2 linked regions of the Oryctolagus cuniculus genome follow. The main gene of each other region encodes a partner of the protein of the gene in region 2 in a complex. Links are inferred from orthologs where the notes say so. Each region holds a gene or a part of one and is shown on either strand. Other genes may lie near its edges. The genes, in order: SHANK1 and ARHGEF7.

What was found.
Region 1: the proteins of ARHGEF7 (region 2) and SHANK1 are in contact, whole or in part, in a crystal structure (PDB 3L4F), measured with the Rattus norvegicus proteins. The link is inferred for Oryctolagus cuniculus from reciprocal best matches to the Homo sapiens genes ARHGEF7 and SHANK1. Residues at the interface, in XP_063131056.1 of Rattus norvegicus: Asp735, Ala737, Trp738, Asp739, Glu740, Thr741, Asn742, Leu743; in NP_113939.2 of Rattus norvegicus: Gly673, Phe674, Gly675, Phe676, Val677, Leu678, Arg679, Gly680, Ala681, Lys682, Phe696, Glu703, His735, Arg736, Val739, Ile742.

Annotation. Positions count from the first base shown.
Region 1 is NC_091449.1:7,268,022-7,272,025, reverse strand, and holds the start of SHANK1 (SH3 and multiple ankyrin repeat domains protein 1), read right to left. Parts: upstream 2,801-4,004; 5' UTR 2,512-2,800; intron 1-2,511. Other genes in the region: CLEC11A (C-type lectin domain family 11 member A), read left to right, coding at 3,100-3,246, 3,436-3,640, 3,789-3,980. UniProt on the Homo sapiens protein: Seems to be an adapter protein in the postsynaptic density (PSD) of excitatory synapses that interconnects receptors of the postsynaptic membrane including NMDA-type and metabotropic glutamate receptors via complexes with GKAP/PSD-95 and Homer, respectively, and the actin-based cytoskeleton.
Region 2 is NC_091440.1:2,138,813-2,145,011, forward strand, and holds part of ARHGEF7 (rho guanine nucleotide exchange factor 7), read right to left. Parts: 5' UTR 5,162-6,199; coding exon 4,721-5,161; intron 3,786-4,720; exon of another isoform or gene 3,687-3,785; intron 3,646-3,686; exon of another isoform or gene 3,610-3,645; coding exon 3,523-3,609; intron 1-3,522. UniProt on the Homo sapiens protein: Acts as a RAC1 guanine nucleotide exchange factor (GEF) and can induce membrane ruffling. Functions in cell migration, attachment and cell spreading. Promotes targeting of RAC1 to focal adhesions. May function as a positive regulator of apoptosis.

The sequences.
Region 1 (4,004 bases), on a different chromosome or scaffold from region 2:
CACAACGGGGGTGGGGTGTGGGTGTGGGTGGAGGCTTGCCTTCCGGGCATCTCAGGCCCCGTGCCCAGGTGGGAGCGGCCACAGCTCCCCCCCCCCCCCGCAGCGGCTCCCCCTCTGGGACCGTCACCGCCCACTCCGCTGGAGCTGTGGCCCACGCACCCATTCTGAACCACCTTCCCCATTGCCGTCTTCCAGAGGGGAAACCGAGGCACGGAGCGGCTATGGAACTGGTGCAGGGCCGCCTGGCTCCAAAGAGATGGTGCTGAGGACCGGGGACAGGAACGCTGGCCCCAAAGTCCTCTGTGCGCACTGTTGGGCACCCCTGGCCACAGGGGATATGCACGTGTACTTGTGGCTGACGGTGTGCCCACAGCTCACCTGTGCCCGAGACACACCCCCGAGACAGGGCAGGTCCCCCGGGCAGTGGAGACCCAGGCTGCCACCTCCAGGGCCACGAGCTGGGCACAGGCTCCCGCAGGGCGCAGGTCTGGGTTCCCCTGCAGCTGCAGGCTCTCTGGGGCACCTCAGTGCCTGCCTGGGCTAGGAAGGCCCCATCTCGACGCACCCAGCAAGCCAGGTGGTGAGCAGCTGGGCTCCGGGCGGGAACAGCTGCCTGCATCGGCAGCGGCACAGCGGCAAGAGGTTCTGCACCCCCGGCTCCTGGCCAGGCTCTGCTCCAGGCGAGGCATCTCTCCAGGGCTGGCCCCTCGGTGGGGGGCCCACGGGCCCGCCCCGCAGCGCCTGCACCGCCCAAGGTCACACTGCCCTCCTGCGTCCAGGCTTTCTTGGAAAACGGAATGCTGGGTGCTTTGGGCTCCCGCGCCACTCCTGGGGCAGCCCCCAAGCCTCGGCTACCTGCCACCATGCTGGTGAGCTGTGGTGGGCTGTGTGGTCCCCTTCTTTGGAGAGCGGGCCCCTTGACCCCCGCCTAACGAGCCCCGGGCCCGTCGGACAGCCAGGGTGAGGCTGTGAGGCATGAGCCTGGCACTACAGTGCCACGGCCTCCTCCCCCTACCTGTACCACCTCTGTCCCTGCTGCAGCCAGCACCTAAGCCCAGGGGCCTTTGACCAAGCTGTTACCCTGCCACACAGCACCTACTGTGTGCCAACCAGGCCTTGATCTAGGCCTAGGGATACAGCCGTGCATAAGAGTTCCTGCCTGGGCCAGGGCCGTGGTGTAGTAGGGTAAACCTCGGCCTGCGGCGCCGGCATCCCGTATGGACACCAGTTCAAGTCCCCGCTGCTCCTCTTCCGATCCAGCTCCCTGCTACTGCTTGGGAAAGGCAGGAGAAGGTGGCCCAAATTCTTGGGCCCCTGCACCCACGTGGGAGACCTGGATGGAGCTCCAGGCTCCTGGCTTGGGCCTGGCCCTGCCCTAGCCATCTGGGGAGTGAACCAGTGGATGGAAGACCTCTCCCTCTCTCTCTAACTTTGCCTTTCAAATAAATTTACGAATCTTGGGGGGAAAAAAATAAAGACTTCCTGTCTTTGCTGGCGGCAGGAAGATGGTAATGGACAAGATGGTGCCAGTCTTGGCGATGGCAAAAATAAAACGGGGCATTTGAATCCGGTACCTCGTCAGGGCCGTGGGTGAAGCTGCAGCCAGTGAGGCCGGCTTCCACACTGCGAGGCACTGGCTGGAGTCCCGGCGGCTCTGCCTCCACCCCAGCTCCCTGCGAAGGTGCCTGGGAGGGCAGATGACACTGGCCAAATGCTTGGCCCCTGCCAGCCCTGTGGGAGAGCCGGACGGAGAGCCCGGCTCCTGGCAGCCCGGCCTTTGTGGCCATTTCGGGAGAGGATGGAACAGTCTCGTTGTCTCTCCTTCCCTCTGTCACTTTTCCTTTCAAATAAAATAAATCTTTAAAAATTAAATATATATATATATATATAGAGAGAGAGAGAGAGAGAGAGACTTGTGGAATGAAATCCTCTTAAACCAGGTGATTGGGGGGAGGGGTGGGGGAGAACTTTCTAGAAGGAATAAAAGGCTGGGGGCCAAGGCTTTGAGGTGGAGAACGGCAGAGAAGCCAGCACAGAGAGCCGGGGTGGGTGGGAGGGGACGAGGGGAGCTGCGTCCTGGCGTGAGGGGGCCCAGCCCCCCCGCCGCCTGGAGCAGTCTGGCTCCCCTCCTGCTTCTGATGGGAAGGTGGGGGCGCCGGGGAGTGGGGGGTGATGGGATCTGATTTATGGTTTGGAAGGATTGCTCCGGCTGCGGCAGGAGGGGCTCAGGCGCGAGGGGGGAGGGCAGGGAGGAGCCTGCTGCAGTGGTCCAGGCTGGGCCCGACGCCTGTCCAGCTCCCGGCGGCTCCCACCCCCACTGCCTCCCAGCCCCTCCCCCTGGCCCACTGCCGGCCCCTCTGCTTGCTCTGAGCGTCTGGGTCCCCAGCACGGCCCAGCCTGCAGAGGCCTCCAGCAAAGTGTGGCCAGCGACCCGCAGAGCCCCACCTTCCTGGGACACCCACACAGCCACACGCGTGCCCGTCACGTGCACCCGCAGAAACGCACACGCACCCGCTCTGGTCGTCGCCGAGGGCTTGGAGGGCAGGGGCCGGCCATCCCCGCAGTCTGAGACCAGTGCAGGAATGCGAGCATCAGGGGGTGTGGGCGCCGGTGGCCACAGGATAATAGCAACCTAGGGAGACCCTGTGGTCTCCCCCCACCCCAGGAATGGCTGGGAAGGGGGAAGGAGAGAGGGCCCAGCCCCTGGGTCCCCCCATTGCCCTGTGGGTGCCCAGGGGTTCCTGGGCCGAGGCTGGTCCTGAGGTCCCTCGGAGAACTGGCCACGGCCCTTCCTGCTCCCAGGCAGAGGGAAAGAGCAGGCGGAAGCGAGCTCTGGAGGGCGTGGGGGGAGACCCGAGGCGGGATCCAGGCTTTGGAACGTTGGAGGTTTCCGGCCACAGAGGCAGGGCCTCGTGGGAGCCAAGAGGGCGGGGAGAGACACACACAGAGGAGCGGAGACCAACAGACAGAGCCGGGAGTCTGGGAGTCGCGGGAGCCGGTCAGGAGACGCTGCAGAGGCGGGGGCCGGGGCACTCGGTGGTCCCCAGAGGCACCCCCACCCCGCTTCCCTGCGCCCTTGGGTGCTGAGAGCCCAGCCCGATGCAGGCGGCCTGGCTCTTTGGGGCCCTGGTGGTCCCCCAGCTCTTGGCCCTTGGCCAGGGGGCTCGGGGAGCTGAGAGGGAGTGGGAAGGAGGCTGGGGTGGGGCCCAGGAGGAGGAGCGACAGAGAGAGGCCCTGATGCTTAAGGTGAAGGTGGGGGGAGACGTAGGGTTGGGAAAAGGGCGGGGAGTGCTGGGGTCCGGGTGAGAGTCTGCAGGGGTGGGGTGGGGGTTCCTAGAAAGGACTCGGCTTCAGAGAGTGAACTGGGGGCTGGAGGGGGGAGGAGGGGGCAGCTGGGGAGGACGGGGTGGCCCTGAGCTCTCCTCCCTGCCCCAGCATTTGCAAGAGGCTCTGGGGTTGCCTGCTACCACGGGGGACGAGGATCCCCCCGGAATCCCTGCAGGCGAAGGGGTCTGGGGGCCTGAAGACGACCAGGTGGAGGACAAGGAAGAGGAGGCAACACTGGCTCCGGACCCCAGCCCCAGCCCCAGCCCCAGCCCCAGCCCCTCGCCCACCCCTGAGGACACGGTCACTTACATCTGTGAGTAACCAGCTCGGTGGCCCACCGCCCAGCCCCCGGCCTTGCCTCCCCAGAACCCAGGCCGCCGGACCTCCACTCTCCCAGGGGTCCCGGTCCCCCGCCCCCCACCCCAGGCCCCTCTCCAGCGGCGCGCCCTGTCCATCCACAGTGGGCCGCCTGGCCGGCCTGGACGCAGGCCTGCACCAGCTGCACGTCCGTCTGCACGCGCTGGACACCCGCGTGGTCGAGCTGACCCAGGGGCTGCGGCAGCTGCGGAAGGCGGCGGGCGACACCGACGAGGCCGTGCACGCCCTGCAGCAGGCGCAGGGTCGCGCCGAGCGCGAGCACGGCCGCCTGGAAGGTGGGTCCGCCCGCTCGTGTCGGG
Region 2 (6,199 bases):
AACGTCCTGCCTGCCTCTGGACAGCGAGGACAGTGACGCTCGGGCTTAGGCCCAAGAGCCCCATGAATATGAACGCATCGGCCACAATCACCTGCCAGGTCACCACCGAGAACCCCGTCCCCCTGGAGAACGGCTGATTCCTTCTGGGTGGAGGACTGCACCAGGACACTGAGACATCTGGGAGACACGCACGAGGCTGGCTCCCCCTTCTAAGTACACACTGGACTAGGCGCCAGCATGGGAAGTCGACAAACTGAAGTACCTGAGCTTACAAGGTGGAAGCCCATCTCTTCTGTCCACCTTTCACAGTCTGGTTCAGAACTGAGTATTACGTGTTACTAAATACTGGGAATAAAACTAAATACTGACAGCAGCAGGCTTTTTTTCTTTTCAACAGAGCTAAGTCAACAATTTTGTTGCTAACACCCACCACACGACATGCTATCAATCTGGGGCAAAATGAATGAAGCTGGCACCCTGGCGGGCAAACAGGACAGGTGTGGGGGCTCTAGCCACACAGCCCGCTCCTGGGAGCCCAGCACTTCCTCTGCCGACAGCTCACCTGCGTCCGTGGTGTTCGGACGAGAACCCGCGCAGGCTGAAGGTCTGTGACCGTGTGAACGCAGGCACACAGCCACGCCGCGGCACGCAGGAACCAGCCAGGAGAACTCCCCCTGGTCTCTCTGCGGCGGCCTCATCTGCCGACCGCCTGCCATTTCTCCTTCAGTGAAACTCAACCTATCGGGATCCGTGTCCTTACTGTGGCCATTCTGTCCTAACCAGACAAAAAAAGACTCGCAAAGGGCACGTGCAGAGTAGAAGAAAACACTGCAGGAAGACAAAGGGGTCACAGGTCAGAGGCACACAACTGCCCAGTGTCTAACAGCTACAGCACAGTGCTCAGGCTACAAAACAGAGGCAAAGACCTTTTCTAGTCAGAGCTCATCTGGGGACAACACCTGATGTCCACAGCGAACCAGGTACATACGAATTAAAACAGCTAACAGAGGCAGCGGTCAAGTCACCCCTCAGGACGCCGACGTCCCCCACCAGAGCGCCTGGCTGAGTCCTGGCTCCCGACACTCACTCCAGGAGGCAGCTCAGGCATCACCTGCGTCCCCACCACCCACCTGGGAGAGCCCGGGTGAGTCCCAGCTCCTGGCTAGTCTGACCCAGACCCCGGTGTTCTGGGCATTTGGGGAACGAACCAGCAGATGGCAAATCTCTACCTATCTCCCTGCCTTTCAAACAAACACAAGTTCTAAAAAAGAACAGCTAATACAGTGACCATGAAGTCCAGGTCCTCTATTCCTAATATCCAGAAAACTGAAACCAGCATAAACATGAAAATACATGTAACAAAAACGGTTTGCTACAAACACAACAGTCTAAGGTAGCCCTGGACACGAGCACCGTGACATTTATGACGACAGGACAGAAACAAATGCCGAATCGAAGCTGTTTTAGCTTTCACGTCTGTAATTCCCAAACGTCTCCCATCTCCCCTCTCAGAATTTTGTGCAAGTGAAATGGAAAATCCTAGAACAACCTCCCAAGTCCCAGGTCTACACTGCTTCCTGCACCCTCGTGGGGGACCAGGTTCCCCTGGGCAGTGGCCTGGCCCTCACAGTGGGGGACAGGTTCCCCCAGGCAGTGGCCTGGTCCTCACAGTGGGGGACAGCTTCTCCCAGGCATGGCCTGGCCCTCACAGTGGGGGACCAGGTTCCCCGGGGCAGTGGTCTGGCCCTCACAGTGGGGACAGGTTCTCCCAGGCGTGGCCTGGCCCTCACAGTGGGGGACAGGTTCCCCCAGGCGTGGCCTGGCCCTCACAGTGGGGGACAGGTTCCCCCGGGCGTGGTCTGGCCCTCACAGTGGGGGACAGCTTCTCCCAGGCGTGGCCTGGCCCTCACAGTGGGGGACAGGTTCCCCCGGGCAGTGGCCTGGCCCTCACAGTGGGGGACAGCTTCTCCCAGGCGTGGCCTGGCCCTCACAGTGGGGGACAGGTTCCCCCGGGCGTGGTCTGGCCCTCACAGTGGGGGACAGCTTCTCCCAGGCGTGGCCTGGCCCTCACAGTGGGGGACAGGTTCTCCTGGGCGTGGCCTGGCCCTCACAGTGGGGGACAGGTTCCCCGGGGCAGTAGCCTGGCCCTCACAGTGGGGGACAGCTTCTCCCAGGCATGGCCTGGCCCTCACAGTGGGGGACAGGTTCCCCCAGGCGTAGTCTGGCCCTGACAGTGGGGGACAGCTTCTCCCAGGCGTGGCCTGGCCCTCACAGTGGGGGACAGCTTCTCCTGGGCGTGGCCTGGCCCTCACAGTGGGGGACAGGTTCTCCTGGGCGTGGCCTGGCCCTGACAGTGGGGACAGCTTCTCCCGGGCGTGGCCTGGTCCTCACACCCCAGCTCCCAAGGACACAGGGAGGAGCAGCAGCCTCCCCTCCCCCACACAGAATTCCCTCTCTCCAGGTCACTTCCAAAAAGTGACAGCCCGAGATTCTGAAGTACTGTTTCCCTGTCTTTTTCAATTTTCATTGCCTCTTAGGTAAGCACGAGTTTTCAGTGCGATTCACACGAAGCCTGAAAGACCAACGCTTGCGGCTACTGCAGTTTGAATTTACTGAGACAGAAACTTTGAAAACGGCACAAGGTCGGTCATGACCGACTTTTCTCTTTAGAGGGAACCTTCCACGACCACAAGTTCAAGCTCGCCCGTGGGTCGCAAACATTTCTCGCAGGCCCACTGCGTGCCAGGCTCCCTTCCAGGGGTCTCCAAGTGCACTGGAACCACAGAGCAGCCCGCAGGAAGCCCCCGGTAACCCGGGGAGAGCGGAGCAGGGGGCTCTAGCGCACACTGACGCTGCGGCAGGGCGCCAAAGCCGCCACGGGCGCGGGTTCGAGTCCCGGTTGCTCCTCTTCCAGTCCAGCCCTCTGCTGTGGCCCGGGAAGGCAATAGAGGATGGCCCAGGTGCTTGGGCCCTGCACCCGCGTGGGAGACCCGGAGGAAGCTCCTGGCTCCGCCCAGCGCTGGCCCTGGCGGCCACCTGGGGAGTGAACCAGCGCCGTAGAAATAACCAACCTGCAGACGCCGGCTGGGGACCGCGGCAACGCGAGCCCCGCACGGATCCAGGGGGCTGACAGCTGCGCCCGGCACGGCAGCTACCGGGAACTCGCGCCGGGACGCTGCCCACGCCTCCGGCCCCGCCCGCTCACGCAACAGCCCCGCCCGGGCCCCGCGTCCCCCCAGAAACCCACGGCGGCCGCCAGCGCTCCCGCCCACCGGGGCCCCTCCGAGAAGCCTTCCGACTCGCGCCGCGCCAACCCGCAGACGCCCGGCGTGAGGGCGCGGGGGCGCCGCGGGCCACGAGACCCCCGCGCACCCAGCCAGCCCCGCACGCCGCTGCCGCGCGGAGCCCCGGCAGCCGCCTCCCGCACGGCCGGGCGGGCCCGCGGCGGGCAGCAAGCCGCTCCCGCACGGCGGGGCCCGCGCCCCGCCGCCGCCCACGCCCACGCGCCGCCCGCCCGCTCACCTCCAGGCGCAGGGAGGCCCCGCAGCCGCGCAGGAACTCGCGGATGTTGCTCAGGCACTCGCTCTCGCTCCGCGGCTCCGGGAAGACCTGCAACACAGACACAGCGCTGAGGCCGCGCGGCCGCGGGCCCGTGCCCCGCCAGGCCCCGCCGCCGCCGCCCGCACCTCTCCGCTTCCTCCGCTGCACCAATCTCGGCCCCTGCCCGCACCAGGAAGACGGGGCGGGGCCGGAAGTGACGCGCTCAGGCCGCGCCCCCGCCAGCCCGCGCGCGCGGCCTCTTCCGGCCGGCGCGGGTCAGCGCCGCGCGGGCCCCGGTCGCGGCCCCCGGACCCGGGCCCCGGCCTCGGACCCCAGCCAAGCACCGCGGACGCCGGCCACCCGGACCCGGGCCCCGGCCTCGCCCCTCGGACGCCGGCCACCCGGACCCGGGCCCCGGCCTCGGCCCGCGGACGCAGGCCTCCCGGAGCCGGACCCCGGCCTCGCTCCGCGGACGCAGGCCACCCGGAGCCGGACCCCGGACCCCAGCCTCGCCCCTCGGACGCAGACCACCCGGAGCCGGACCCCGGACCCCGGCCTCGCCCCTCGGACGCGGGCCTCCCGGAGCCGGACCCCGGCCTCGCCCCGCGGACGCAGGCCTCCCGGACCCGGACCCCAGCCTTGCCCCGCGGACGCAGGCCGCCCGAACCCCGGAGCCGGACCCCAGCCTCGCCCCGCAGACGCAGGCCGCCCGGACCCCGGACCCGGACCCCAACCTCGCTCCTCGGACACCGGCCACCTGGAGCCGGACCCCGGCCTCGCCCCGCGGACGCAGGCCACCCGGACTCCGGACCCCAGCCTCGCCCCTCAGACGCAGGCCACCCGGACCCCGGACCCGGACCCCAGCCTCGCCCCTCGGACGCAGGCCGCCTGAACCCCGGACCCCAGACCCCAGCCTCGCCCCTCGGACGCAGGCCACCCGGACCCCGGACCCCAGACCCCAGCCTCGCCCCTCGGACGCAGGCCGCCCGAACCCCGGACCCCAGACCCCAGCCTCGCCCCGTGGACGCCGGCCACCTGGAGCCGGACCCCAGCCATACACAGCGGACACAGGCCGCCCGGAGCAAGCAGCCGCCTCCTCTCGGCGGGTGGTCGTGGGCCCCGCAGACAGCCCCGCACGTGCGGCCACCGCCTCCGCCCCGAGCCTGGACCTGGGCCTCACCGAAGCGGACACCGCCCGGCCTGGGGGGACCCTGAGAGCTGGGCCTGGGCTACTTGGGCATCGCCCGAAGGGCTGGGCCCGGACCCGCGGCGCCGAGGGCGAGTGTGGGGGTCCTCCGAACGCCGAGGCTCTGCGGGACAAGCCCCGTGAGCTCCGCACGCCGGGACCGAAGCGGGTGGTCGTCGTCTTCCCCGGCACCGGCCCTGTGCCCCCCGAACGGTCAGACAGCCGGCTGCGGCCCGAGCGTGCGTGCGGGGCTGCACGCGTGAGCCGAGGAAGCGGGGCCCACCCGAGGAGAAGCCCGAGAGATCGGGGCTGCGGGCCGCGTGCCCGGCCACGAAGAAAGTTCCCGGGCTGTGGCACCGGGAGCCGAGATTGCGCCAGGCCTCTCGGGAACACTGCGGGTCCCTCTCCAGCCGCGCGGGTCGCGGAGAATCCCATACCGAAGCCCGGTGTTCGGGACGCCGGGCTGTCTCGGATTGGAGCCCCCCCCCCCCGCCCCCCAGTGGAACAGTCGTCAGGACACAGTGCCGCGGGTCTCCTGCAAACAGCCGGTGTCTGGTCAGGGGATGAGCTGCTCCTGGCCCGTTTTGCTCCTCTCAGAAGTTGTGTGCCATACGCGTAGCTCAAACCCGAACTCCTTCACCGTGGTTTTGCGGTTGCAAAGTTAATTTCTGACATTCTCATAATGACACTTTAAAATAAAAATTACATCTTTTTTTTAAATACACCCAATGGAATTAAAATACAGGTAATAGCCTGCAACTAAAAATTCTATAAACAAGCTCTTCTGTAAAAGTCAGTCTCTAACTCCTTTTCATTGCACTTCCCCCACAGAACCACATCCTAATGTAATCTGTTCTCGTGCTTGATGTCATTTTGCAAGGGACCCAACAAAGGCCGTCACCATCCACACTGGCTGTGACCTCCCCTGGCTGCTCACGTGCACGTGGCCAGCTGGCCGGGGCAAGGCCATGCTGTTTCCTCGTTCTGCCTCTGTGAACACCTGTCCTCTCCTCGGCCTATCTAGTGCCTTGTTCTTCACGTCTGGACCTTCTGTTGATGACCTGCTGTGTCATGGCCCCCGAGCGTAGTGCTGAAGTGCTGTCTAGAGGCCCCAAACAAGGAAGTTGTGATGTGCCTCACAGGAAACACGTGTGTTAGATCAGTGCTGTTGGCCTGGAGTTCCACTGAACGAGTCAGCCATAGATACATCCAGAAAGAGGAGCAGATCCATCAACCTGTACGGGAGGCCGCTCCAGACGGTGCTGCGGTCCCATCTGCAGTGCGTGATGAAGCTACGGAGAAGGTGGGAAAACGACGGAATTCGTGGCTTTATGAGACGCTGACAGTTAAAGCACAGTAGACAGCGCTGTGGTGAGGCTGAAAGCCAGAGATGTGCAGTCCCACTGCTCAGGTCAAGAACACGCGAAGCCCCTCTCGGCTAGTCGGGGCTGGCACGCGTGTCAGATGTGGCAC